Linked DNA regions of Solanum lycopersicum. The protein of the gene in region 1 binds, or shares a complex with, the protein of each later gene. Links are inferred from orthologs where the notes say so. Each region holds a gene or a part of one and is shown on either strand. Other genes may lie near its edges. The genes, in order: NAD(P)H-quinone oxidoreductase subunit S, chloroplastic; photosynthetic NDH subunit of lumenal location 3, chloroplastic; photosynthetic NDH subunit of subcomplex B 1, chloroplastic; photosynthetic NDH subunit of subcomplex B 5, chloroplastic; photosynthetic NDH subunit of lumenal location 1, chloroplastic; ORR; NAD(P)H-quinone oxidoreductase subunit O, chloroplastic.

Evidence for each region.
Region 2: NAD(P)H-quinone oxidoreductase subunit S, chloroplastic (region 1) and photosynthetic NDH subunit of lumenal location 3, chloroplastic share a complex: the UniProt entries of both Arabidopsis thaliana proteins name them as parts of the chloroplast NDH complex. The link is inferred for Solanum lycopersicum from reciprocal best matches to the Arabidopsis thaliana genes NdhS and PnsL3.
Region 3: NAD(P)H-quinone oxidoreductase subunit S, chloroplastic (region 1) and photosynthetic NDH subunit of subcomplex B 1, chloroplastic share a complex: the UniProt entries of both Arabidopsis thaliana proteins name them as parts of the chloroplast NDH complex. The link is inferred for Solanum lycopersicum from reciprocal best matches to the Arabidopsis thaliana genes NdhS and PnsB1.
Region 4: NAD(P)H-quinone oxidoreductase subunit S, chloroplastic (region 1) and photosynthetic NDH subunit of subcomplex B 5, chloroplastic share a complex: the UniProt entries of both Arabidopsis thaliana proteins name them as parts of the chloroplast NDH complex. The link is inferred for Solanum lycopersicum from reciprocal best matches to the Arabidopsis thaliana genes NdhS and PnsB5.
Region 5: NAD(P)H-quinone oxidoreductase subunit S, chloroplastic (region 1) and photosynthetic NDH subunit of lumenal location 1, chloroplastic share a complex: the UniProt entries of both Arabidopsis thaliana proteins name them as parts of the chloroplast NDH complex. The link is inferred for Solanum lycopersicum from reciprocal best matches to the Arabidopsis thaliana genes NdhS and PnsL1.
Region 6: NAD(P)H-quinone oxidoreductase subunit S, chloroplastic (region 1) and ORR share a complex: the UniProt entries of both Arabidopsis thaliana proteins name them as parts of the chloroplast NDH complex. The link is inferred for Solanum lycopersicum from reciprocal best matches to the Arabidopsis thaliana genes NdhS and NdhM.
Region 7: NAD(P)H-quinone oxidoreductase subunit S, chloroplastic (region 1) and NAD(P)H-quinone oxidoreductase subunit O, chloroplastic share a complex: the UniProt entries of both Arabidopsis thaliana proteins name them as parts of the chloroplast NDH complex. The link is inferred for Solanum lycopersicum from reciprocal best matches to the Arabidopsis thaliana genes NdhS and NdhO.

What each region holds. Positions count from the first base shown.
Region 1 is NC_090807.1:67,427,137-67,430,319, reverse strand, and holds NAD(P)H-quinone oxidoreductase subunit S, chloroplastic, read left to right. Parts: upstream 1-1,478; coding exon 1,479-2,231; 3' UTR 2,232-2,355; downstream 2,356-3,183. UniProt on the Arabidopsis thaliana protein: NDH shuttles electrons from NAD(P)H:plastoquinone, via FMN and iron-sulfur (Fe-S) centers, to quinones in the photosynthetic chain and possibly in a chloroplast respiratory chain.
Region 2 is NC_090809.1:1,367,392-1,371,947, reverse strand, and holds photosynthetic NDH subunit of lumenal location 3, chloroplastic, read right to left. Parts: upstream 3,004-4,556; 5' UTR 2,922-3,003; coding exon 2,657-2,921; intron 2,061-2,656; coding exon 1,774-2,060; intron 965-1,773; coding exon 866-964; 3' UTR 710-865; downstream 1-709. UniProt on the Arabidopsis thaliana protein: NDH shuttles electrons from NAD(P)H:plastoquinone, via FMN and iron-sulfur (Fe-S) centers, to quinones in the photosynthetic chain and possibly in a chloroplast respiratory chain.
Region 3 is NC_090802.1:62,985,619-62,990,197, reverse strand, and holds photosynthetic NDH subunit of subcomplex B 1, chloroplastic, read left to right. Parts: upstream 1-1,699; 5' UTR 1,700-1,823; coding exon 1,824-2,408; intron 2,409-2,868; coding exon 2,869-3,059; intron 3,060-3,197; coding exon 3,198-3,455; intron 3,456-3,608; coding exon 3,609-3,714; intron 3,715-3,968; coding exon 3,969-4,054; intron 4,055-4,150; coding exon 4,151-4,316; 3' UTR 4,317-4,450; downstream 4,451-4,579. UniProt on the Arabidopsis thaliana protein: NDH shuttles electrons from NAD(P)H:plastoquinone, via FMN and iron-sulfur (Fe-S) centers, to quinones in the photosynthetic chain and possibly in a chloroplast respiratory chain.
Region 4 is NC_090808.1:66,330,429-66,334,763, forward strand, and holds photosynthetic NDH subunit of subcomplex B 5, chloroplastic, read left to right. Parts: upstream 1-1,491; 5' UTR 1,492-1,584; coding exon 1,585-1,818; intron 1,819-2,156; coding exon 2,157-2,220; intron 2,221-2,500; coding exon 2,501-2,563; intron 2,564-3,059; coding exon 3,060-3,118; intron 3,119-3,224; coding exon 3,225-3,455; 3' UTR 3,456-3,696; downstream 3,697-4,335. UniProt on the Arabidopsis thaliana protein: NDH shuttles electrons from NAD(P)H:plastoquinone, via FMN and iron-sulfur (Fe-S) centers, to quinones in the photosynthetic chain and possibly in a chloroplast respiratory chain.
Region 5 is NC_090809.1:53,936,611-53,940,568, reverse strand, and holds photosynthetic NDH subunit of lumenal location 1, chloroplastic, read right to left. Parts: upstream 2,394-3,958; 5' UTR 2,247-2,393; coding exon 2,120-2,246; intron 2,042-2,119; exon of another isoform or gene 2,028-2,041; coding exon 1,941-2,027; intron 1,873-1,940; coding exon 1,799-1,872; intron 1,719-1,798; coding exon 1,596-1,718; intron 1,477-1,595; coding exon 1,405-1,476; intron 1,319-1,404; coding exon 1,222-1,318; intron 1,149-1,221; coding exon 1,045-1,148; 3' UTR 839-1,044; downstream 1-838. UniProt on the Arabidopsis thaliana protein: NDH shuttles electrons from NAD(P)H:plastoquinone, via FMN and iron-sulfur (Fe-S) centers, to quinones in the photosynthetic chain and possibly in a chloroplast respiratory chain.
Region 6 is NC_090803.1:56,432,367-56,435,768, forward strand, and holds ORR (NAD(P)H-quinone oxidoreductase subunit M, chloroplastic), read right to left. Parts: upstream 1,547-3,402; 5' UTR 1,437-1,546; coding exon 984-1,436; intron 873-983; coding exon 690-872; 3' UTR 530-689; downstream 1-529. Other genes in the region: uncharacterized protein At1g21580, read right to left, coding at 2,220-2,693, 3,260-3,363. UniProt on the Arabidopsis thaliana protein: NDH shuttles electrons from NAD(P)H:plastoquinone, via FMN and iron-sulfur (Fe-S) centers, to quinones in the photosynthetic chain and possibly in a chloroplast respiratory chain.
Region 7 is NC_090810.1:1,415,006-1,418,776, reverse strand, and holds NAD(P)H-quinone oxidoreductase subunit O, chloroplastic, read left to right. Parts: upstream 1-1,256; 5' UTR 1,257-1,353; coding exon 1,354-1,582; intron 1,583-1,646; coding exon 1,647-1,723; coding exon of another isoform or gene 1,724-1,755; intron 1,756-1,957; coding exon 1,958-2,023; intron 2,024-2,127; coding exon 2,128-2,169; intron 2,170-2,279; coding exon 2,280-2,339; intron 2,340-2,706; coding exon 2,707-2,736; 3' UTR 2,737-2,982; downstream 2,983-3,771. Other genes in the region: uncharacterized protein, read right to left, coding at 3,423-3,771. UniProt on the Arabidopsis thaliana protein: NDH shuttles electrons from NAD(P)H:plastoquinone, via FMN and iron-sulfur (Fe-S) centers, to quinones in the photosynthetic chain and possibly in a chloroplast respiratory chain.

The DNA.
Region 1 (3,183 bases):
TTAATAGTATATATTAATTATTGAATTTATTATCAAATATTTAATGAATCCTATAGAGACAAAAAAGAATTCTTTTCGTCCCCATTCTGGCTATTGATAGGAATAATTTACGCTCCAATTTATGCAAATTCAATGTGTACACTATATACACCTTTTATCAATACTTATTATCTCTAAATTGTGTTTAATAATGTATTAAAGAAAAATGGTATGAAATAGCAAAATATGTTATTCAAATTAAATAATATAGCTATGATTTATTTTGTTTGTAATTTGTCACAAACATTCCATTCTTTTGTAATCTGATTCGCTATACAATTAGTCATTTCCGATATATAATTAGACATTTTATATATTTCGATATAGAATGTATAAAATGTGTTTGTGTTTGTATGAAACGAGAGAAAAGATTATATACAAATACATACATACATACATACATACATACACACACATATATATATATATATATTCGTTCTATATACTTATGATTATATAAATCTAGATCTTATTATACAAATTACAATTTATAAATGAATTTATACAAAACTGAACAATCTGAATAAAATTGGATGTATCTAGCGAATTATACAAATCAAAAACTCCATAGCAAACATAAAATTTATTATGGAACGCAATTATGCAAACTATATTTACAACATACAAATATGATTTTTATGTTTGCAATTTGTGAAAAATTACGTCTTTAAAAAAACAACTTTAGAGGCTATTTAGATGAACTTAAAAAGTAACTTTTAAATCAAAAATAAAATGTCAAACTTAAATGATTTATAAGTTAAAAAATAAAAGGCAGAGGAAGACCTACTTTTGATTTTAAACTTATTTTAAGTCATTTTAAAGTTATTTTTAACTTTGTCAAACACTTTCTGACTTATTTTAAGCCATTTTTTACTTACTCTAAGTTATTTTTTATATTTATCGAACACTTCCAAAAATAAAAATAACTGACTTTTAAATCAATTCAAACGCCCTCTTATTTAATCAACTATATCTTCTACAAGACCCCTTTCACATGTGTGGTCCTGACTTTTAGAAATTCCTTTTGATAACAAATAGCAACATAGCGCGAATCTAATACCTCTATATACTCTGATCATCAAGTTAAATCATATGATCATTTTTTAAAAAAATCTTAAATTATTAAAGAAAAACATAATATATCTCGTGTAATTTCATAAATGAATATAAAAATTATAATTTACTTTTAACGCAATTCCTCACGTGTGGTCCTGATTCTTTTTGAAAGGATGGTGTAAAACATGAGTGCAAGTTTAATCTTTTTCCAAGGAAGATAACATCATTCATGTGTTTCATTTGTCAATAGAAGATATCAAAACAAAAACAGATTGGTGGTCAGAATTTGAAAGGACAAATTACAGTTTCCCATTTCTACTTCTCATCTCATCCTCTACCATCATCTTTCCCAAATCCAAAGTTCTTGAAAAAAAATCAAAACCATGGCTTCTGCTTCTTCCTTTCAACTCTCAAGCCTTCAAATTCAAACCCCACCTCTTAAAAAATCAAACTTTCTTGGTCAATCTGTCAATCTCAACCTCAGTAGTAGTGTTCATACCAAATCAGCTATGAAATCATCTTCAAACTCAGTTACACCAATAGCAAAATTCAATCTTTATGAGATTCTTGGAGGTAGAGGTCTGTGTAATGGAGAAGAGGGTATAGAGAAAGAGCTAAAAAAGTCGATTTCCGAAGAACAAAAGGCAGTAGGATCAGCAGCAGCAGCAGCTAGTGATGATGATAATCAAGAAAACAAGGAGACTGGGGAGATACCGGAGGACGGATTTGAGAAAGAAATGATGGGGTTTACTGGCGGATTTCCGGGAGGTGAGAAGGGTCTAATGAAATTTATAGAGAAAAATCCACCACCACCACCACCCAAGAAAACAGAATCAAGTATGGTTTCTGGTTTTAATCAAAGTCTTGTGAAGAAACCAAAGCCACCTGAATTGCCACTTTTGTTACCTGGGATGATTGCTATTGTCAAGAATTCTAATAATCCATATTATATGTATTGTGGGATTGTGCAGAGGATTACTGATGGTAAGGCTGCTGTGCTTTTTGAAGGTGGGAACTGGGATAGGTTGATATCTTTCAGGCTCGAAGAACTCGAACGTAGAGAGAAAGGACCGCCAATGGTGAATCTTAAGTCTGTGATACTTGAGAAGATGGTAGAAAAGAGCTCTGAAGCTTGAATTGCTTCAGTTTTTGAGTAGATTGTTTGTTCTTTTGTCTTTTGGGTTGTTGTACATACAAGCTGTAAGTTTTGTAATGGCAATGGCATGTAATAAGAAATGCAGAAAAACTTTTGTGCAGGAAGAGTTCTGTCCCAAATGAGAAGTTCAACTCTTAGCAGTGATGTTCGAAAGAACTCTTAACAAAAACAACGTAAAAAATAAGAATCAGGTAATTCAAACCACTTGCAAAACATATAGTCAAATATTTAATATGATTGCACAAGATCTAGTTTTGTTTAAGTAATGAATCCTAGCATGTTCTTCTGATCAATTCATAGATCATTAGATACCATCAGTAATGAGGATCTGAAATATCACACGTTTTATCGAGCAAAGAGAGAGTCTAGCAGAACAACAACATACAGTATTTAACAGTGAGTGATAAAACAATTCTTACTTTTCACAAGCATGAGGTACCTCTGACACCACATATGGTGGATCTTAGACTCCATCCAATTGGACAACAGGTCGATATCGATGTAGATAAGTTCAATAATGATAGCTAGCCTGAGAGAGAGTATACAATGGTGCAAACTGCAAGATTTTGACAGATTCTCAAACAGATGGACCAAAATTTTATAATGCATAGTCTGCAAATGTTTACATTCAGTATCAAGGTAGTAAGCCAATCCACGCATTAGCCTCCAATGTCTAATGATCATTAATTAAAGATGTCATTTGCAGAATACACTTATAATTCCAGAAAACTGTGTCAGTTATACCATACATGCAAAAGAAATCACCCAAATGTAAGCCAGACGTCGAAAAACTATGTCCTCTGTCTGCACATCTTCGCCTCAAAATTAGTTGCAGCCACCTAACTGTAAAAGTGGAGAAACAGTTTTAAGGGCAGTTATTGGCAGATTTTCATAGAATTATCTCTAGAACAAAATTGTTTGGCTTGAACTTA
Region 2 (4,556 bases), on another chromosome or scaffold:
GGAGGATTTGGATTTGGACCTTAGTTTCGTTAATGTGGTTCTCTGAAATTTCGATCATAGTCTAAAGTGATACTTATACATTTTCCAAAATTAAATACAAGTTCATAATAGCTAATATTTAACCTCGATACACCTTTTATAATAACTAAGATCTCAAAATATTTAAGTTAAATAAATTTTACTTGCTTATTTGAAACATGAAGGGGATGTAGCTCAGATGGTAGAGCGCTCGCTTAGCATGCGAGAGGTACGGGGATCGATACCCCGCATCTCCATTTTAATTTTTTTCGATAATATTTCATTATATTTGAATTTTGTTAAAACGGTATATTTATCTTTGTTTGGTAATATTTCATCATATTTGAATTTTGCTAAAACGGTATAGTTATCTTTATTTGATAATATTTCATTATGTTTGAATTTTGCTAAAACATTATAATTATCTTTGTGTGATCTATAAGTCACATGTTCGAACCTGAAATAAGTCTTGGATTATGGCCCTTCCCCCGTTCCACGGGTCATGTATAAAAATTTTGCTACGATGGTACGGTATAGTTATCTTTGTTTGGTAATATTTCATTATGTTTGAATGCTGCTAAAAAGTTATAGTTATCTTTGTTTGACCTATTAGTTACATGTTCGAACCTGAAATAAGTCTTGGATTGTAATCCTTCCATCGTTCCATAGGTCATGTATGGACTCGAGATGCTTCATGCACCGAGTTGTCTCTATTATAAAAATGTGGAAATCAAATTGAATCTCCATCAAAGTGTTATTGACAATTCCAAAATTTACGAAGGAACATTTTGTCTTCTTGTAGTCAAAATGACTAATTAACAGAATATAATTAAAACATATGTTTTGTTTATGCCATTCTGTCCATGACTTGTTGGAGAATAGTAGTTGTTTCTTGATAACATGATTGTGTTTGAGGCAGGTTCTTTTTCTTCACAGCATCTTCAAGCTGCATAAAAAAAAATATTGGAGCAAACACATGATCAAAAACTTTGCTATTTATAATTACGTTGTTCAGACTTTTCAAAAATATTGACGGTCACCAATCATAATGTGTGTCGTATTCTACAAAATCTATACATTTTTGTAAGGATCCGACAATATTTTTGAAGTGTCAGAGGAACACAACACCAGACTTATATTGCTCGGACTTCAATAATATTGCCAGAGCATGTGCTAAGATTTTTGGAGGATCTGATACGAGCACAACAATATTTTTGGAGGGTCCGATCAATATTGTATCAGACATATGTTGCTCAGACTCTTCAATAATATTGTCACAGTTTTTGTGTGTAAGATTTTGGAGGATTCCACATGGGCACAACAGTATTTTTGGAGGATTCGACCAACATAGTTATCAAACCTATGTCGCTCGGATTCTTCAAAAGTGCTTCTATATATGTCCGTCAATCGAGGATCCTCCAAAAGCTATGCAATGGATCCGACATAACAGGTACAACAACATTTTTAGATGGTCCAATTAACATAACATCAAGCCTATATATGTGTATATATATTGCTCAGACTCTTCAAAAACACTATTGACATCACATTGTGTACCGCATCCTCAAGAAAACATGCATTTTTCAAGGATGTGACACTGATACGACAAAATTTTTGTAGGGTTTAACCAAACTAATATCAATCATATATTGCTCAGACTCTTCAAATCTATATATATTTTTTGAACACATTTGGGACAATATTTTTGAAGGATACGAGCAACATATAATATCAGACAAATAAAATCAAATGTACCTTCTCAACGTTATCAAATAATCGATTAGCAAGATCAGTGAGAGGTTGCTTATCATTCACTTGTGCAGCTGTGATAACTTCATCAAAATCATAATACATAAATGTAGATTTAATCCTCAAATATTTCCTCACATAATTCCAAGAATCTGTTCCAATCAAATCCCCTAATGCCAATAAATCAAATGCATATCTTTTCAACCTATGAATTCTCCCTTTTGTTCCAATATTAGCAATGTACATTCCTTTCTTAAGAAATGATCTTGTACCTGTCTCCTTGTTTATAATATCTACAATCAAATATTACAAAAACTTTTATCTAACATATTAAAATTATGGACGATCGACTCGATTCTTGATATCTTAAACTTAAATGCGCGAAAAAAGCTCAATTTTTTACCCTTTGACACCAAATGGGGTCCGACATCACTACAAGAAAACTGTAAATTACATAATACGGATAGGCGTATAGACTTTTTCTTCTTACGATCCTATCATTTCTGCTTCAGCGAAATATTCTGATTCGGCTAATTTCACACTTATCTATGAGCTATGATGGGGATTTTTCTGAGAATTAGTATGAAAATTTATAGGAAAATAAGTTTATGGTGAATTTTTATACTAATTCCAAGGAAAATCCCCATGTATTCACAGCTTTTTCGTAGTGTATAAAGGTAATTTTACATCGAATTCAAATTTTTTTACTCGAATAATTTGGACATGTGGGGTTCACCCATTTCATATTCGTGCTATACATGAACTTTGTTAATGTAGTCTGGTACATAAAACATTTCGCATTAGATGAATTGGGAATATCTATAAATGCAAGTGTTAGTGGCTGTTAAACGCGACGTGATAAAAAAAAATATAGAAAATAAAAACTTACTGGTGGATATTGAAGGGTCTTGTAGTGGACCAGTAATAAAAAATCCATTATTATCTTCAGCAAGTGAAATATCAATTCTTGAATTTGCAAATAAAGCAATTGAACCAATGCTTAATGCTAATCTTCTTGTAATTTTTGGTGGTGAATTTTCTTGAATTTCTTTATTTTTTTGGCTTATTGTTTTTGCTTTTTTCTGAATTTTTTCAATCTTGGGAATGAGGGGAAGAGCTTCAAATATAATGTTTAAATTTGTTGTGTTTGCCATAATTTTTTGGTGTTGAAACTATGAACAAAAATGATAGCCTATTTTTTGCACTTTCAAAAAAAGTTATAATATTATTATCCATTTGATGAAAATCTTGATGACTATTGGCCACTAGAAGGATATCTCAATTGAGGGTAAGATTGTAATTCTCCCCTCTTTTCTTTTCTTTTTTTCCTTTTTATGTTTTTCCCAAAATTATAAATTCCTATGATATTTTTATTTTTCGAATTTGTTACTTAAAATCTTAGCTCTGTCACTGACTTTCAACCTAATTATTTTGAAGAAAGAATCAAATACGAGTGAGCTGGATAATTTATCTATTTTACTTGACTCATTTTCAATCTCTTTGTATCTATAACTCGATTCTCCTATTTGTTACACTTGTATTTTTTTTATATGGTCAATGAACTAAGAACTTATTTAACTATACTTGTTTATGTCTTATATAAGCAAAGTGACATAAGTAAAGATTAATATATGAGTTTTGACTTATTTTTGTTATTTTGTCGTAGCATCAAGTGTTTAATATATGAGTTTTGACTTATTTTTGTTATTTTGTCGTAGCATCAAGTGTTTAAAAATACTTAATATTTTACATGAATGCTATGAAACTGTTTAAATACACCTAAAATAAGTCAATTAAAACATGTTCTAATAATTATTAGTATCTCATAAAGTCATATTTCTTCTTGATTCAATTTCCGTAACGGAATGTTCAAGGAAGAAATGACCGCACGTCGAGTAAATATGACCAAAGTCCATTTATTTGCTCTCTTTATTCTGTAGATACGCTCGTGGAAAGAAAAATCGGAATTGAAAATGTAGATTGATCAATTCCGCCCCGTTCGAGTAATCGTATTGCATATAATGAACTATAAGCCCAATGGGCTTCACTTACAGGCCCAAACTTCTTCTAAAACGGACCCATGCGAGCCCAAAATTTTCACGCATTTTGGGACCGAAGTTCAAATTACACACTCTCCGGCAAGTTCCTCCGGCGAAGTTCTTCTCCGACGAGCCAACTCCGGTCAAATCCTTTCCGGCGATAACACCGCTGTAAGTTCTAACTTATCTCACTTTCTATATATATTCCTTCTTCCATTGCTCTGTATTCATATACAGAAATGTTTAAATTCGATTTCAGATATAAAATTGACTAATTTAAAGAGTTAATGTTTCACAGTAGTAGTTTAAATTAGGTAGAAATCATGTTAAATTGAGTGAATTGTGTAAACTTGTTGGATTAGTATAGAAATATTATCAAATGATTAAGCTTTGTAGCAAAGACATTGAATTAGGGTGGGGATTTTGTGAATGATTGAGCTCTGCAGTGAAAGAAACTTAAGTACATTATAATCATTTTGATGGTCAATTTTCGGAAAAATTGACGTTTAAACTATCTTTGAACGGGAGGTGGAGCAAGGATTTGAACTTCATGGGTTTTGGATACGAAAGCATGGCCTCGAGTACTTGTAATTGGGTCATGAGTTTGATTTTTGTACATATGTAGTGATTTTAACAAATACACAAGGTTATGAATATAGTTATGCACTAGTTTTTTTCTTTTTTGAAGTTGATGTTCCTCCTTTTTTTCCCAACATGCTTTCTATATTATTTGATTGATATGTTTTCCTT
Region 3 (4,579 bases), on another chromosome or scaffold:
ACCCTAAAAATGTCTTCTTTAATAATTGAAAACACCCACGTAATTGGACCAAATTTGGAAATAAAAAAATAAATGGGAAAAGGGAAATTGCCAACTTAAAACACAATTTAATTCAGGATAAGCAAGAATCTAATTATAGAGCTTAATTATTGTTCATCTATTACTGTGCAAATTGATTATGGAATATAAATCCTCTAGATTGAAGATAGCTTTTCAATTTGTGATGGGTACTTGATTATGGAGTGGAATCTACATCTATTTATTTTTAAGCAAAATTTAGAAATTTAAAGTTTCATTTATTATTTTTTAGTACGTTTGATTTTATCAATTGTTTTCTAGATTATTATTATTTTAGATTAATAAATGAATTTTCAAGTACAATTTTTGTTTCATGAACATCTTCACATATTTTGATAAAGATCATAAAAAGGAAAGGAAAAGAAAAAGTGTAGCCTGTTTTATAAAAGAGGTTACCTTATAAGTCAAAATATTAGTGACATATCAAAGCTAGTTTAGTGAATAAAACAAAGCCTAAGAATTTACTTTTTTTTTCTCTTTTATGATCTCATTATCTCTTTTTCTATATATAATAATATTTTGTTTTTTCCTTTTGATCTCATTAATTGACTCTGTTTATAATCTTTACTTTTTTGACTTAATTGTTACACAATTTTGTGAAGTTCCTTTCCTTTTTCATGCATCTTTTTTTCTTCTTGATTGCATATTAAGCAATCGTTTTTAGGATAACTGTACTTGATTCTCCCTATGATGGAACAACAATATACATAATTTGTTATTTGCTAGCACTTTGTATTTTAATTAACACAAGTAGTATAACTCACGATTCTGACAACATAGATAGGATTTCTCCGTCTCAGACAGTAATGGAGCTAAAATTTTATCTAAGGGGTGTCAAAATCTAAAAAAATAAAATTATGTAAAAGCTAAGGAATATCAATATGTAATATATATATATATATATATATATATATTAAACCTAACTCAATTCAAAAAGCTAATTCAGGGCGATGTTTTTGAAAACGTTTTGGGGCGAGTTTCAGGGAGGGCCATATCGAAAATGCTCCAGGGCGTAAATGAAAGAAGTAAATTCATAAGGTGTAAGTCTTGAGCATAAAAAACGTAAGTTCTGGGCGTAAAACGTATATAGTGACGTTTTAATTTATTATTTAAAACTTTTTTTACTTTAAATTATATTTTTACTATTGGTGTAATAATATTTTTCAAATAGTAATTATAATATATTTTTCTTCATTATTGATTATTAATATTTATTGCAAATAAGAATTATAATCATTGAAAGATTTATTTTTATTTATTTTATTAGTAATAAAATTATAATATTAAATATACATGAGACTAAGCCTAGTAGACCCATGGGGCTTACGCCCCGTGTTCAGGGATTTACTCCTCGCCCTATACGATATAAATCACCTCACTTTTTAAAATATTGATTCAGAATACGAAAGAAATTCTAGTAAAAATTATTTTCTCTTTAAAATCAAATTTATGCAATTTAAATTAGTTAGATTATCAATATGGCTACCATACACTCGATTGAAAACAAAAACAAAAAATACTTTTTCATTCGTCATAATTTATATGATATTATTTAATTTAATATAAAATACAAATGATAGACATAAATTGAGACAAAAAATCGCTAATGACGAGGCAGGAACATAGTGACAACAATGGGGACCTACTTATCTCACTACCTTCACACATTGAAATCCAACGTCACCTTCTGCTATAGTTTTTAGCTATCCCCAAAAAAAGTTGCAGAATTTTATGATAACACTCAAATGGCTGCCTCTACTACTCTACTATCTAACTCCATTTCTCCTTTCTTTGCTAATCCACCTAATTTTCCTGTAACCCATGTCACAAATGTACCTTTCTTGAACCACAATCCATCTTTTCCCGCCAGAAAATCAGGGAATTTTTGCCTCAATGCCAAGAAAAAAAATCCATGGCTTGACCCTTTTGACTATGGTGATGATCCTGAAATGGAATATGGTTCACTTTTTTCTGAAGGGAAACAAGATGAAGATCCAAGGCCACCTGATAATCCTGATAACCCATATGGATTTCTCAAATTCCCAATGGGATACTCTGTTGAGATTGCTTCGTTGGGTTTGAAAATTAGAGGTGATGTTCGGAGATGTTGTTGTGTTATTGATGGTGGGGTTTATGAGAATTTGCTGTTCTTTCCAGTAATTCAGATGATTAAGGATAGGTACCCTGGTGTTCAAGTGGATATACTTGCAACAGCCAGGGGAAAACAGACATTTGAGATGAATAAAAATGTGAGGTGGGCTAATGCCTATGATCTGGATGATGATTTTCCTGAACCAGCTGAGTATACGGATATGCTTGGAATTCTTAAGGTTTCATGCCGTTCCATTAACATTAACATCGATTCATAATTATTTAAATTCTACGTTGCTTGGACTCTTCAAAAATGTTGATTTTAAAGTGCATTACTTTTGGAAGTATCCGACACACATTAATCTACGAGCAACATAGGTTTAAGCAAGTTGTTTCATTTGAAGTATGATTCTTGTCGTGCCTTGATGTATTAGCACCTAAAATTAGAGAAAGTAACAAACATTATATGGAAACTTAGTTAAATACGAAGATTTAACTATGGTTATCTTATGAGTTTGCAGATAATTCAAAAGTTGAGCAGACTACGTTTGGAAAAAGAATCGCTTAGATTAGCTTCAAGATGCTGTTCGTCTTGTTTAGTCAGATAGAGATAAAAGAATTTGCTTCCTGCATTATGAATAGAGAGTTATAGTCATTTTTTGGGCTAAGTTATTTGCTTTAATGCATGGTTTGTTGCAGAGTAGGTACTATGATATGATCTTGTCAACCAAACTGGCAGGGATTGGACATGCAGTATTTTTGTTTATGTCGACTGCTCGTGACAGAGTTAGCTACATTTACCCAAATGTGAATTCTGCAGGAGCAGGATTGTTTCTGTCAGAAACTTTTACACCAGAAAGCATGAACCTCTCCGAGGGCGGATATCATATGTAAGTAGATGTTCCAACTGATAACTTGATCTTTTTGACTACTGAATATTCATTTCAAAATAGGGAGTTTGAAAAGTGCAACAGTTGTACTTCGTCAAAGTTTGTATAAACATGTTTACATACACTTTTTTGAAATAGGTACCGTCAGATGGTTGATTGGTTGGGCAGACCAGCTCGTAAAGTACCTCGACAACCTTTACCCCCACTTAAAGTTTCAATCTCAAGAAAGGTTAGGGAGGTTGTAGAGGCAAAATATAAGAATGTTGGTGCACAGAAAGGCAAATATATTGTGATTCATGGGATTAAATCAGATTCAAAAGCTTCTATGCAGTCAAGGGGTGATATTGATAGCTTGCTCCCTATTGAGATTTGGGCTGAGATAGCAGAGGAGATAAGGTATAATGTCAGTATTTTATTCTCTGTCGGAAAAAGGGCCGACTCGACTACATGGTCATTTTTAGTTCTCGAATTAGCTGATTAGCCTTTTTTCATCAAATGCAAGAAAATTTGTGAGCTATACTAATGGTTTGTAAACTATCATTTGATCAGGGGAGTCAAGCCAGTTTTTGTCATTCCACACGAAAAAGAAAGAGAAAATGTGGAAGATGCAGTTGGTTACGATGCTAGTATAGTGTTCATAACCACCCCTGGACAGGTTTGTTTTCTCAACCACTTTCACAATATCAATGACCGATGATCAACCAGTGTTTAGTTGAACAACCATAAAAGAAGAAATTGGTTGGAGTCACAGATATAATGGCAACAATTTACAGTCATATTCAAGGAGGGTATAATCAAATGAAAGTAGTTTGCTTCTGTTGCATGTTTAGTGGCAGCTTTAACTATAGTCTATATACCGCGGGATGAGCACTAGAAAACTAACAGTCCCTGCATATTTCTCTGCCTTAGCTTGCTGCTCTTGTTGATGACTCTGCTGGAGTGATAGCTACAAATACAGCTGCGATACAACTTGCTCACGCACGTGGAAAACCAAGGTAATGTCATCTACTACAAGCTGTAGACGCGGAAATTTTTTGCACCTTCTGCTGTCTTTGTGGGGAGGTTGATATATCTTGGTTTTGTCTGTACAGTATTGGGCTATTCTGCTCTGAGGATAAGGCCAGAAGTTTTGTTCCCAATGCAGAAGCAAAGAAATGTGCAACTATTTCATCAAATACTGGAAAATTGGTTGATATTGATGTTGAAGCTGTGAAGAGTGCTGTTCAAATTTTCACCATGCCCCTAGCAATCTTCTAAATATTATACATCCTCCAGTTCTCTTACATATAGTAATTAAGTATTCCTGTAATTGTTACTAGTTCCATTTTCTTCTCAATTGTAATTAATAGAAGCGGAAATATATATATTCGTTCTTTTTTCTCAACAGAAAAGGAATATGGAGATATGTTATTTATCAATGTGACACTTTAGGACATTCTGATATCTATAAAGTTTTGCAAGATTGTATAAATATAAAGAAATATGATAGTTTTCACAATTTGCGATTTTCATGTTTCTAA
Region 4 (4,335 bases), on another chromosome or scaffold:
TTCGCAAGAGAAATATACAAACGAACAAGCGAAATATATAAACGCAACCTCCATAGCAAATGAAATTATAATTATGAAGCGCAATTATTGAAACTATAGCTACACAGTCTTATTATATCTATGATCTTTGATTCAAACTTGAAATGAATTTACATGGTCATATTCGTTTAATTTGTATTAATATCATGGTAGATGGATTAGATAGATGAAAATATTATTGTCGTTCTTTTGTATTGAATTTTGGATATACATAAAAGAAAGATACAGTATACGTACAGTTGCTTAATAATTAAAGGAAAAATTATATAAAATATCAAATTATTAATTCAAATTAATGTTATAATCATACTTTGATTTAATTGTAACTCGTAGCAAACAATTGTCATTCACCTCTCTCCCCGACGAATTTCGCTTGCCACTCTCCCAGGTCTTGCTCGTCACTCTCCCTCGTCTCACTCACTTTATACAAAAGGCAAATGAATAAATTGTGTTTGTATTTGTATAAAGCGGGAGAAAATTATATGTACACATACATATAATTTCGTCATATACACTTATAATTATACAAATACAGATTTCCTCTACAAGTTCTCTTTTGTCATTCTCTCTTTCTCGCTTTATATAAACACAAATTACAATGTATACTTTGTGTTATATAACTCGAGAGAGAGAGCGATTTGATATACAAATGTTTTATTTCGATACATTGTATACAAATTCAAATTTTATGCAGATATACAAACACATAAAATTGAATTTAGAGGTTGTCAACGATTTATACAAACGAGAGGCTGCCAATGATTTAATGTACCATAGCAAGTATAAAATTTGGTATGGGCCGCAATTATACAAACTATAGTTATAGTATACAAATATGATTTTTTATGTTTGCTAAACCTAAACTTACTTATAATTAAATAGTTTCCTATTGAAATAATTATTTCTGTATGAATGTCGTCGATATTTTCCTCCTTTTTTCTCCCTTATTTTTGTCATAAGTTGGAAAAAAATTTAAAATTTTGAAATATTGGTGAAAATATTTTTTTAAAATAGTTTTAAAATAATTTTTATAATGGTAAGCAAAAAAAAAATCTGGTTTATGGCTAAGAGAGGCTAATTTATTTTGTTTAAAGCATTTTGAATAATCTCATTTAAATAGACATTTACGTTCTCCAATTCTGGATATGTACAATTACAAGCAGACATATAAATATGTATATAATTAAACAAGTAGACACATCCTATGTGACATCGTACGTGACAATTTGCATCCTATATAATGTCCTACGTGCATTATATCACGTAGTACGTCTGTTTATGTTTGTTCAATGTTATATAAATTTAAGTGTTGATTTATCTACAATCAAAGTTGAAAGACATAGATGTCAGATGAAATCAAGTTAAAAGGGGTCGGAAATTGTGGTAACACAATAAGAGACTAAATAGATATTAAAAAAAAAATATAAAACCATAATATATAATAGCCTTATCCACGTATAGCCTTAACCATTCAAAATATATGGATAATAAAGTTAGAAAACATAGAGTAAACAAGCAAGAACAGAGCAACACTACTCAACAACAATGGAGAATTCTTTAACACTTTCACTACTCTCCACAATTCCAGTTCCCAATTCAGTATTCTCAACAAAATGGAGTGTTCTTTTTCGAGGAAATCCATGTTCGATTTCCTCGAAAATTGGTACAAAATGTGGTGGATTTAGATCATCAACAAGATTGTATGCAGGACTAACAGAGATAGAACCAGATATCAACGAAGATCCTGTTGATCGATGGAGAACTAATGGCATTGACATTGTAATGTTTCTTTTCTTTTCTTCGTTGTTTTTAAATAATTGTAGTGTTTGAGTAAGTTTAATATCTTTCATCAACATAGATATCGAATAATTTTGATATAATACAAAATGTCCTTTTAACTTGGCTTTTTTTAACTGACAAATGTATCTATTTTTTCAATTTTATATAAGTCTCTATTTGTGTACATCGAAAATAAGAGGATATAGATGTAACTGAAACAAAATTGAAGGGCATATTTATATATTTATGTAATAATTTTTTTTTTATTGAAATTTTGACGGATTTATTTTAAGGCAGACGCATGTTAACTAATTTTATTTTATTTTAATTTGTTGCAGGAAGATTATGTTTTTGGAAAATACGATGATCATCATACGTACTTTGAAAGTGAAGATAAAAAAGGTACATAACAATATGTGTGTGTTTTTTTCGATTTAATTTGTAATTTGAATTGAAAAATATCTAAATTTGTCCAATGTATTATTATATGAATTCGATCAAGTTAGTCTTCGTTCGACTTTTCGTTTAATAAATCGTTTCATATTTGTCCAACGTGAAATTGGTGAACTCCACGTGTTCAAATTCTTCGAAAAACACAATATTTGAGTAGCTATTTTTACAAAAATAGGTAAATGTATTTATACTTAAACTATACTTAATTCTATATCACTTGCATTTTCAGTATCATTTTGGGGATCCATAGCAGAAGATTATGCTGCTATTGCACCCCCAACAGGATTTCAAGGTATGTAACAAATTACCATAATAATATGATCATTAACTTAGTCATTTACTTTTCGCACTTTGACTAATTTCACGAAATACTTTCCATCAGCAACAAGTATCAGCTAACTCTATCCATCTACCAACACCGATTGTGGTTCACTGGTGGGAGTGTTTCACTCTTAACCACAGGTCTCGGGTTTGAGTATTGGATATGATCTATTGAGAAAATCATGTTGGGAGCGTCACCCTCAAATATAGGACCTGCAATGTGCGATTCGAATTTAGTCGTAATTCCAATGTAAGCTCCGGACATCGGGTGGAAAAAAAAAACTCTATTCATCCACAGTGGATAAGACAAATGAAAGGATCACCTAGAATTTTTCTTCTCTCGCTGAGAATTGAACGTGATGAGACCTCGTGACTCTTAACCAGTTCATTGACCACTAGGGCACACCCTTGAGTGCTTCTTTAGTTATTTACTTAAAATAACTTATTTTTCTGGTGTTCGACAATAGGTATCATTTCATGGCTGTTTCCTCCAGCAATAGTTGCAGGAATGTACTTCAATGTTCCTGTAAGTTAATGACTAAATCTCTACTATATTACACATTTTTCGAGGCTCGAAAACACCCGTTTCCAGCAACTAAAAGTCTTGTATTTTCACTTCTTTGACAATGCAGGGGGAGTATTTGTACATTGGAGCAGCTGTGTTTACAATTGTGTTCTGTATCATTGAGATGGACAAACCAAGTGAAGCACACAATTTCGAGCCTCAAATATATAACATGGAGAGAGGTGCGCGAGATAAGTTAATATCGGATTATAACACAATGGACATTTGGGAATTCAACGAAAAATATGGTGATTTATGGGATTTTACTGTTAAGAAGGACGATATCATGAAACGATAGAAATAAAAAAGAACAACGAATTCATATGTTCTGAATATATCATTAAGGTATCTAAATGAATCGCGTAATGATCATTGGATTTCATCGATTACTCGAAGATGCATATGATCTGGTGTTGTTCCATGGTTGTACTATATGTTTCTTAACTACATTGAGATGAAAAAAAAACTCTAATGAACTCCCTAGCTGAAGAATTACACTGTATATATAAGGTCAAAGTTATATATTTCTTATTAGTATATGTCAAATCCCTTTATCAATTCTTTATATTTTGAATTTCCTTAATAAAAATTCTGATTGCGCTACTGCGATGAGAGTTGTATAAATCAAAGTACATAGGATGTTTAAAGTTACATTAAGAAGGAACTTAAGAGTTGAAAAGTTTGATTGAATGATGAGTGATAACTAACATGATTTGGCTTTTTTTTCTAATATTTTTTATGAATGTTCTGATATTGCTTGTTGTATGTGTAAATATACCTACTGAATTAGCTCTATGTACTACTTCCGTTCCAATTTAAGCGACACTTTTTGAATTTCGAGATTCAAACAAGTCTATCTTTGATCGTAAATTTTTATATATATCTTTTAATTATTTTGAATTGTCAATTATTACGACTTATATTACTTTTAACGTAGTTTACAAATATATAAATTTAAATTTTGAAAAATATTAAAGATTGTACGTGCAAATTTTCGATCATACTTAAACTATTTGACTCTGAAAAATGAAAAATATCACATAAACTGAAATAGAGAAAGTAATAGTTAATTATTTCTCAAAAGATATAAGTACTATTTATATTAAATTTTTAAACATCATCAGAAAAGGGCATTGGATGTTGCATGACTTCGCATTTAAAAATTCTGAATTTGCCTT
Region 5 (3,958 bases), on another chromosome or scaffold:
GAGCTCAATCTTTGTTACAGTTCACAGAAGTTACTCTATTCTAAATCCTAGTTCACGCCTATATAAGGGTAAAAGTTACTTTATTCTAAAACCTAGTTCACGTTTATATAAGGGTAATATATTCCCTTGAAGAGGTATGTCAAATATGTCATAAACTCCTAGAATATTCACAAAGAGATCAAGACATCAAATATTGCCTTACAATCAAATATATCTCAAAGAGGTCCAAATTATCATATATTCGAGAAATATGTTACTAACCACCCTCGAATAACAGATTTAATTCAGAGAGAAAAATCAAGAGAACTTATACTCGCAAATACCAATGAAAAACTGTGTTTCATCATATTTTATAGGCATAATACATATATTGGACCCTAAACTTGACTTCAAATTTTGACTTTGACCTCCAACTTTAATAGTGCACAAATAGACACTTAAACTATCATACCATTAAATAAATAAACACACGATTTTTGGAGACAAAGAGAGTGAAATGCAAATGCTCCCACGTATATTAGTGAGCCACTCAATGACTGCCAACTAATTAAATATTTTATGCGTCCATTTTAGAATTTAAAAAAAATTTAAATGAATTTTGATTTGGAAATATAAAAAAATATATAAAAGGGATTCATTAATGGTGGAGTTGTTATTTCAGCATTTTTTTACCATTGTGGACCTCAAAAATTACTACTCCTAACTCGCACAAAATACATGCACATTACATGTTTGCCAGGTACGACTCGCGTGTTTATTTATTAAAGGGTTAGATAATTGAAGTGTTTGTTTGTTTACTATGAACGTTGGAGGTCAAAGTTAAAATTTGAAACCAAGATTAGATATGTATCATGCCGTACTTTATTTGTGCTTTATTTTCCATCACTTTAAAATTTGTCGTTAACACTTCACCGCTTCAACTACAAGGGGATTTCAGTTACTTATGGGATAGCCAGAAACATTCTTTGTACTGTAATTCAATAAACAAATTGCAAATCCTGTTTCATGGAACAAGACTCTATCATTGCAGCTCTTAGAACAATTCTAAATGTCCAACACCTGAAATGAATCAGCCACCACTTTAAGTTTGTTGCGGAATTTTCTCCATCGCCTTTCATTCGCTCCCACGATTAATGTGTAGTATCTCCCTGTACGAAATGTCTTAATACGAATGCAGAAAAATGTAATGTACAGTTAAAGGAAACAAACCAGATCACTTACCATTTGCAATTGCTATAGTAGCAAATGCTGCCCGCGAAAAATTTGGAGATGTCAATACATATTCAAAGGTGAAATAGTTTTTCCCATCCGTAGTTCTCTACATAATTTTGAACAAAAATATGGTGACTAATTGAAAAAGAGCTACGTATATTGTACAATCAAGAGAATAAGAAAGGATCATACCTCCTTCATTTCCATTATATTTGCCACCTGATTCGGTGCAGAGTAAACATGTTTTACCAGATCGGGCACAACCTTTAGGAAAGTAGAAATAAGTTGGTATGACGAAGAAAATACATGTCTTTTTTATATTTTTCTCCTCCTTGATAGCTTAATAAAAAACGGCTACATAGATGAATAGTACCGCGATTTACCTCTTGCATTGGCCCCAAATCATGGATATCTGTTTTATCAGTTGGTATAAAACTAAGTCTTACATTTTGCAGTTGTAGATACCTATCTTTAAATGCAGAATCATGACCTCTGAAATCGAATTCCTGTACATACATCCAAAGTCAAAATGAGAGTTTACTAATTTCTAAAAATTCATTTCTTAAAAAAAAAAGAAGCAACATACCCTCCAATCTGATGGATAGTAATACGAATAACCATCTCGTTTGTCAACAAAGATTTCATAGTTCTCCGGTACTCCTGCATACACGTCATTTAATTATAAAAAGTAAAAAGTTTAGAGAATAAAAATTATAGTAACAGAGTACCTTGAGCTAGAAGGGGAGTCGCGGGTAATAATAAACCCAACGAAAGAGCCCCTGCTCCTAATAGATATGACCTTCTCATCAAGCATCCTGAAACAGAGATACTAGTAGAATTTTACCACGGAGAAAATGGCGTAAATGCAAACATGACTTCATAATTGATCGATATGAAATTTTCTTACTCTGTTGATTAGGGGACGTGTTTTCTGATGCCGAACATGTAATAATGTTGTGTAAGCCATGCCTATTCAAATTGTTGGCTGCTGGTGATGGAAGCCCAAGATTCAATGAGAGTGAAGTAGCTGCCATTTTTGTGGACAAAAATCACTAGATTTTTGCTTAACATGTTTATTTTTTCTCCTAATACAATCACTTTTTTTTCCATCATTTTTTCTTGCTCAATAGGATAAGATGCAAATTAAATGTGAGGATGACCTTTCCTGCCAAGGTCCAAATGGGCTTTTATGTCTCTTTCAACTACAACTAAATGAGCTGTGCTTCATATGTGGGGCTAAAATTTGACTATATCCACATTGATAATTTTTACTAATTGTTCTTGCAAATTTTTCACAAGTTTACCATGTCATAAATATCTGTATGTAACAACAGCACAAACTTGAATCCTTGATGGATGAGGCGGATCTAATGTATTGATACCGAGTTTATCTGAACTCAGTACTTTTAATGCGAAATATAAATTTATGTGTAAAAATTCATCAAAATTGCAATAGATAGTAAATGTAAACTTATAACTTAAAAATTAATGGGTTGATCAATGCTAAAAACCTTAACAATTGACTTCGAAGAATTTAAGATAATGATACTTTAACAACTCGACCATATGAAATGTGATATCAAATGCACCCATGTTGATGTGGAAAAACCAAGCACAGGTTCTTTCAATCACTGTATAGCACAAGCTATTTGAAAGGAAATCCAACTGGCGATGCATCAATGATCAATTTACATCCTAGCGTGGAGGTATTCATCAACTGTGTAAATGCAACGCCAAATATAATTGAAGAATGATCAAAGGGTACCAGGGGTGGAGTACGCCATGTTAATGTACCTTGGATGATCCAAATCTCAGTGTATGCGTCTAAAGTTTCAATCCTGAAATACAATATACAGGAAAGGAAAAATAGCAAGCAAACAATAATATTTGTATTTGAATTAATACTAAGGTTACAATCTTTATAAAATATCTCAAAAAGATATTTAATCCCCTGATTCTTCTCTTCACAGATGTTATTGATTTGGCGGAATACTTGCGGCTCAACCCTTGGAGCGAAGACTTCTTTATATGCTGAAAAGCAATTATGTATTCCTGTGTATATGTATTTTTTTTTGTCCTTTTGGTCAGAAGAATACCTCTTTATATAGGCTTGAGTTAGGGCTTTAGGGTATTTTGGTCTGAGCAATTTTGATCCCTGGGCCTGAAGAACATGAGTTGGGCTCATCTTGTCAACTTAATGGAATGATCCAAATGATTTGGACTTGATTTAAGTCATACAATTTTGGCTTAGATATTAATTAGACTTTATCAACCAGTAATTTGACTTGGTCAACATATGGTGATTTAAGATTTAATCCAAATGTAATATGGATTTATCAATAAAACTTCAGTGTTTACAAATGCCCCTACTTTGAGGCTTGTTGAGGTGCTTGATTTGTCGAACTTGTAAAGACAAGCCTTGAAGTATTTGTGAAGCAAATGTTTTTTTTATCGTAGTTGATCTTTCACGAGACATTTGAAGCTTCATGAGAGATGACCATGTCGATATGTTAAGGTCAACATTTACCATAGTCTTTATTACAATATTTTCTAATTTGTAAGAGGTCATTTGAATTTCAGTTGTTTATCAACTCATTTTCAACTTGAAATGTTTCAAGCTGATGAGACTTATCGCATGACATTTCTTCATGGTGTGGTAATTTCATTTGGGTCATCAACTACGAAATGACCACCAATTCAATGAGCAAGGATTGCGTCTACAAGCTTGACTTGGTGATATAGACCT
Region 6 (3,402 bases), on another chromosome or scaffold:
AACATTTCTCACGCTACTCTTTGTTTGTCTATAAATAGAGGGATTTTCTCTCCTTTTAAAAGAACGAAAATTCTGTCTCTCTTCTTCTTCTTTTTCACAATTAAATATTTGTGTACATTGCTCCGGTTAGTGACTCACTGCCACCATTGTTTATGTTACAGATTCTAGTATATATTTTTACAATCATTAATTTATACTTATGTTATTAAGATTAAATTATAAGATGTAATAATTTTCATTTTTTTTTACATTATCAATAGTTGTTCTTACATAATCTTGTATGTAAGATAATATAGTGTGTTAGTTTTAAAGTCTAGTAAGTTTTACATATTATTTTAAAATTTTTGTGGAAAAAAACGAATAATTTTATAATAAAGTAGGTTGAATATAGATGAGGTAAGCTTAAATATATGGAGTGGTGTAGATATAGGAAATCTCAAACAAATTTGAAGCTATTGCAATTTTGATTGGGGGTATTGATACAATGCTTAGATGATTAGGAATATGAAAACCACAGTATAAAATACCCTTTTGCCACCAATGATTAGGTAGATAACATTTGTATTGTGTATAATCCATTTGGGAAAAGTTCTCAAAACAGACAGAGAAGGTGAAAGTTTCTTATACATTGTTACAACTGCATTTTTTGCTACTCATTGTTTCAATATAGTCAACATTGTTACCTGAATTTACTGGTTTACATCTTCCATTTGTCCATTGTAATTGAACCCAACTCTTGGTTTCCCCATACTGAAGTTAAGAACTCTTGCATTCATGTTGTATTGGATTTCTCCATTATAGAGAAGTTTTCTTATGTAGTGCTCTATGTCTGAACCTATCAGGCGAAGCGTGTACTCCGTCAATGGAGCTCCCTGGTCCAGATCATAAAAAGTTATTGGAGTTAGCATTTCTATTTCTAATCCATTTGGTACAAGAGTGATTGCATGATTAAGCTTGTATTGATGAAGAGAAGTTTTCATTACCTCATAATGATCAACAAGTTCTTGGAAGTAAGAATAGACTTTGGTACAAGTATCATCAGTCCACACAAATTCATCAGTAGGGTCAAGAAGGAGTGTGAGTTTATCCATTTGTGTTTGATCGAAAGCAAAGGTTTCGGGATCAATATAAGCTGCATATATTCGAACATGTCTAGTAGCACTACTGAGCCATTGTCCTCCATGTTCTCTGGTCATGTTCTTGCTCTGCACATTTATTTGTGGTTCTACTGGCCTTGGCTTCTTCATTGCCCCCTCTTCTTGTTTTTCTTCTTCTTTCTTTTCTTCCTCTTTTTTTAGTTTTAACTCTTCAACTTCTGCTTGCTGTGCTGAAACTGAGAAGAAGTTTCTCCTTTTGAGTTGTTTATTCTTTCCCTTTGTGCTCCAACTTAACATGCTGAAATGGGTTGAAGCCATGTATGTTGAAGTTGCTGCCATGTTTCCCCCTTTCTCCTAGTGTTTTGTTATGTGTGATTTTTATGGCCTTTTCTTGAATGTTGGTATTGGGATATTAATATATCCTCCTTTTTGTGTGGATAGGAAATGTTTGCTTACATATGGCTTCTTTTTATTATCTTATATTTTTTTTGTTCTGTGGCTGTGCTTAATAAAAGGTTAATTACAAATTACTCACTTTGAGGTACTTAAATTACTTTCGTTTTTATCCCTGTTAAACCAGGTTTAAAGGTTTGGTTAATTAGTGAATCCGAGCCATGAAAGATAAGTATGCAGGGCGTTTCACTTATATAGACAAAACCAAAAAATTTAAGTTCAGAAGTTCGTATGGTGGTGGATCTATTAAAAACAATCTTTTTTATCCGTGTATTCATCACTACAAAAAAAGAATGCTTACCTGTCAAAAGTAAAATAAACATAACACCAGCTGATTGAATCTACAGGTTCATTATCACCTGTGATAAAGACTCAATAAGAGAGTTCAGATTGACTTGAAAATTGTTAAAGAACAAAAGTCAAACAGCTTCCAATAAAGACTTGTACATAGGGGATAAGATTTTCATTTCCTTTAATTCTCTCACTATAACAACAGTTTTCTTGTTCTATCTCACACAACAGATTTTGCGAAACAAAAAATATGCCTAATCCTAAGACCTATACCTAAGTAATTAACTAAAAGCCTAACAATAAAAAGAAAAAAAATTGCTCTGCACTAGCAGAACACTACATAAACCTAATTACACAACCTCATTTACAATGGTGAGGCTACTCTGATACATAGCTTGTGGTCATATCACTTGGGCTATCTATATAGGGAGATGAACCTACAGACCTATTCCTATTTATCAGACGCACGGGCTTAATAAGCTCATCGAGATCATCCAGTTGCATCTCTGCTGGACCACTCTCGCAAAGTGGCTTTTCCTCGCTTCTCTGATCAATAGTCTGTTCCTCTTCGTCACTACCATCTAGGCTAATAAAATCGACAAACTTCCCTTCAAGGAATATGTCATTATTCCCCTTGACAGAAGGCTTCTCTGATCCAGCTGTTATGCACTCAGAAATATGAATGTGCGGAGAGCCAAAGTAACGACCTCGACCATTCTTTAACTCGCTCAAAGCTTTCCTTTTCGCTCCCTTCCTTCTGTTCTTCGGATGGTGAAGCTTGCAGTTTGAACCTTTGGGACAGTTGCCAGTTGCTTCAAAAACGGGGCAGACATAGGTGTGTTTCTTCTGACACTGCATGTTTAGAAATATGACCCATTTCACAAGTTTCAAGATTAGAGTGTTGTGTGTTTGTGATGATCTACATCTATTGTAAAGAACATATTAAAATAATACTGAAATAGTTGCATTCAGAGAAAGAGGTGACATAATAGGTAAAAATACTTGGCAAAATCACCGGTTGAAAATATAGCTATATCAAGGAAGTCATTCCAAAAACAAAAAATGGCAAACAAGAAGAGGTAAGGGTCCCCACTACTTCATTCATGGGGAAGTGTGGAGACTAGCCTCATCAGTTATAACAAGTTTGGGATAGGGACAAGCTTGTCCAGGAACCAGGAATCAACCAAACATAAAACTGTGTGATAAACTAACCAAACATAAAACTGGGTGATAAACTAACTTCAGAAGACCTTCTTTGCCGATCATCCAAACACAGCTAAAAACTATTTCTACTTGGCACCATCTGGCATAAATTAGCTGTGAGCTATTAAAGAGCTTATCTAATTGGAATTTCAATCCATTGAGTATCATATAGTTGGTATTGATTAATCTGGAAGCAGAAAACAAACAAAAAATACCTCATTGCCATCAGCACAATAACCCCTGAGAAAACCTTCACAGATGGAAGCATTTGGATTCACATTTACATGTCTATATGGACAATTCTCATTTGAGCATATTCCTGCCGAAAAGATTCAAGTGAGTGCTCTAACATCCTCTT
Region 7 (3,771 bases), on another chromosome or scaffold:
TTATCGATTTTTGTGTGCATAGCCCATGAATTTTTTTAAATCCAAAAATTTCCAAACAATATGGCCAAAATTTTTCATGGCGTCCGTAAAGAGCTAAGGAATGAAACGAGTTCATCCCGCGGGGAAAAATGATGTATTTTATAATTCAAACGAGCCCCTAAGAAGGCAAAGGTAGTTTTTATCGATTTTAGTGTGTTATAGCCCATAATATTTTTTATCCATAAATCCTAAAACAAAATGACCGCATATTTAATAGACGACCATTAAGACCTTAAAATGGAACCACTTCGTCCTGCGGGGAAAAAAGACACATTTTCAAGTTTAAACAAATTCCAAAGCAGACAAAGACAAATTTTATCAAATTTCTTGCTCTGGGGTTCAGTTGAACTTGAAAATGCACGATTTTTCCCTGCGGGACGAACTGGTTCAATTTATATGGTTTTAACGGATGTCAAAAGAATTTGGCCATTTTTTTATATTCCCGAATCAAAAAGAAAATCATGTGATATAACACATAAAAATTGGTAAAATATGTCTTTGCCTGCTTTGGGCACGTTTGAACTTAAAAATGCATCATTTTTCTCCACGAGACGAGCTAGTTTTATTTCTAAGTTTTTAAAGGACGTCCATGAAAAAATTCGACCATTTTGTTTTGAATTTTTGGGTAAAAATAATTTATGGGTTATGTCATACGAAAATCGATAAAATCTGTTTTTTACCTACTTGTAAACAAAAATTGAAAAAAATGAGGGTTTACCTGCTCTGGATCGTTTGACCTTCAAAATGGGGTGTTTTGATCGTGGTGACTAACTGACTCCATTGATAAGATCTTAACAATCATCCATGTTAATTCAGAAAATATGACGTCAGAGTTCTTATTCACCAAAAATTTCATAGACTATAGCACAGAACACTCGACAAAATTGGGGGTTTACCTACTCTAAACTCGTTTAACCTTGAAAATGGGTCCTTTTTAGCTGTAGTGGCCAATATGCCCCATAGATAAGGTTTTAACTATGTTAATTTTCGGCAAATAACGTTAAAATTCTGGATCACTAAAAAGATGGTTTGACCTTTAAAATGGTCGTTTTGACCGTGACAACCAATTGGCTCCATAGATAAAAGTTCTAACGGACGTCCACAGTAATTTTCAACAAAAATGACATCGAAATTCAGTATTCAAACTCGAAATCCTTAACCGAGAATAGAGTAATCCCATTTATTAGCAGACTAATTTTTGTTATTCAAATCTGGCCGTTGAAGAAGGGGGAAAAAGGGCATGCCCTTATCTACTTATATTGGCCACAACTAAACTAGTTATATCTCCAAAAAAAAAAAAAAAAAACTATAGAGATGGCTTTCTCTGCTGCATTTTCACACACCTCCTTCATATATTCATCATCTTTTTCACAAACAAGAAAAAATAGGATTAATTATAGCCCTTTTGTTATTAAAGCAGAAAATAGTTCATCTGAACCACAAGAAAATAATGAGAAGCCAAAATCTCAAGCAGCAGCAGCAACAACAACTTCTTCTAGTACAACAGCCACCGCAACAAAGCCTAAAAAACCGGTTTATTCTAGTGAGTAGTACTATTTCATGAAAATGTCTCAAATTTCACTAATTTTTTGTTTATAGAAGTTTAGCTTTTTTGTTTTGGTTGGCAGTGAAGAAAGGTCAGATAGTCAGGGTGGAAAAGGAGAAGTATCTGAATAGCATCAATGTGAGTTTTGTTTTTTTTTGCTACTTCACGAGGTAATGATAAGGTTTATGTACACTCTACCTTCTCAGACCTATTTAGTGGGACTTCTTTAATAAAGATATATATACTATAATTTTTTACCAATCAGCATTGTATCCTCTACATGCTTATGAATGATGATAATAATCTGAATTGGAAGTTGTGGACACCCTTGCACTGGAATTTGACTGTATATTTTTGTATAAATTTCTTCAGTATTTGTCTGTTGATCATCCACCTTATTACAAAGGTCTGGACTACATATATGAAGACCGTGGTGAGGTACCATTTTCTTATTTCTCTATAGATCATGTCAAAAGGGATAACAAAATACAATTTGGAACAACATGTTATTTATAAAATAAACTAATCATATATCTGTTTAGGTATTGGATATTCGTATATTCGAGACAGGAGAATATGCACTTGTAAGTATATTTTTTTCGAAATTCAATTTATTATATCAAAACACACCTCGAAACATAAATTTCACTGAATATATAAAGAGATCAAAGTTGAGAGTTTACCTATGCTGCAGATTGGATGGATCGGAATACCAACTGCACCAGCTTGGCTTCCAACAGAGATGCTAATTAAGGTAATTAGCCTTTTGAAATCATTCAAAATACTAAAGCAGCAATTTGCATCATTTCATGAGTACCTTTTATGGTACACTATTAAAAAAACCTCCTTGCACTTCAAATGAGAATCTCTGGTGAAAATTATTTTGGACAAACTCATAGCAATTAACTGCACGGAGGTTTGGGGAATGGACCGGTGGGTTGCTTATATGAACTTAAGCAATCCTCCCAAGTATCCGGAATGGACTGGTGGTTTGCTTATATGAACTTAAGCAATCCTCCCAAGTATCGTATCTTTATTTGATGATACAGTTTCCACCTTGCTAAAAAGCAAGTGGTCTGTTGCGTAATCACACATTCCCTAACCAATAACAAATTTTGCAGTCTGATAAGCTGGATTACGAGAGAATATAGTGGCGAGTCCACAGTTACAGACCAGTACATGCCAGACGAGTAAATCAAAGTGGAGCATCAGATTGACCGCTGCTCATCAGAGATGAAGAGAGATGAGATGGACACACCTCCAGAATTTACTTATTGCTAAATATATTATTATTCCTTAAAGATCACTCAATCAGCTTCTCAGTTGACACTAAATAATCGTTAAATTGATTCTTAAGAAGCTTAATATAACAATCCTGGACTATTCAGTAGGTAAAAGACAGCTTCCAGTAACAATCAAGAGACGTTCTAGATCAACTGAAATATAAATAAACAGCAACATACCCAATGTAATCCCACAAGTGGGGTCTGGGAAGGATAGAACTGAAATATGATATCAGTTAAACACAAAATACCTTCCATATTGAATAGAATGGAGTCGGTTTATAAATGAATATCGAAATGTACGTCTCAATGTACCATTAATTTTTTCATAAAATTATAGTGTACACACAATATACAGTAGGCAGGTAACTGGAAAGTCTCAGTGTACAGCAGCCTGTAAAAAGGGAAGGTGAAGAACAGGTGGTATGGAGTATAAGTTATCTGTATTTTTTTCTGTAAACAATGCTGTACTTGGTATCAATATCTGAAAGCGATGAGGGTGGAGAATGAAATGAAGAAATTAATGAAGAAATGATGCCAGGAAAAATCAGAACTTACAGCCTTCTCCTAGCACGCTTAGTAGCATTCATAAGCTCTGTCAACGAAGCAAGGGGTCGGGGCACTGGTACATGCATAGACCGGTATAATTTCCGCAAACTTGGGTTATAACTGTTTGACAATCCAACCGCTGACTCAAAAATACAATTCTCTGTTTTTCTGTGCAACAAGCTCTCTTTACTCCTGATGTCTGAACTTTCACTTACTGCCAAGGTCTTACCAGTGTCCACCACAACTTCTTCCTGCTTAAATGAAATAGCCTCTAACTTGTCGGAACATCTGATTACAGCATTTTCATCTGGAAGTATAGGCTCCTTCTCTTCATGTTTGAAACAAGAACCATTG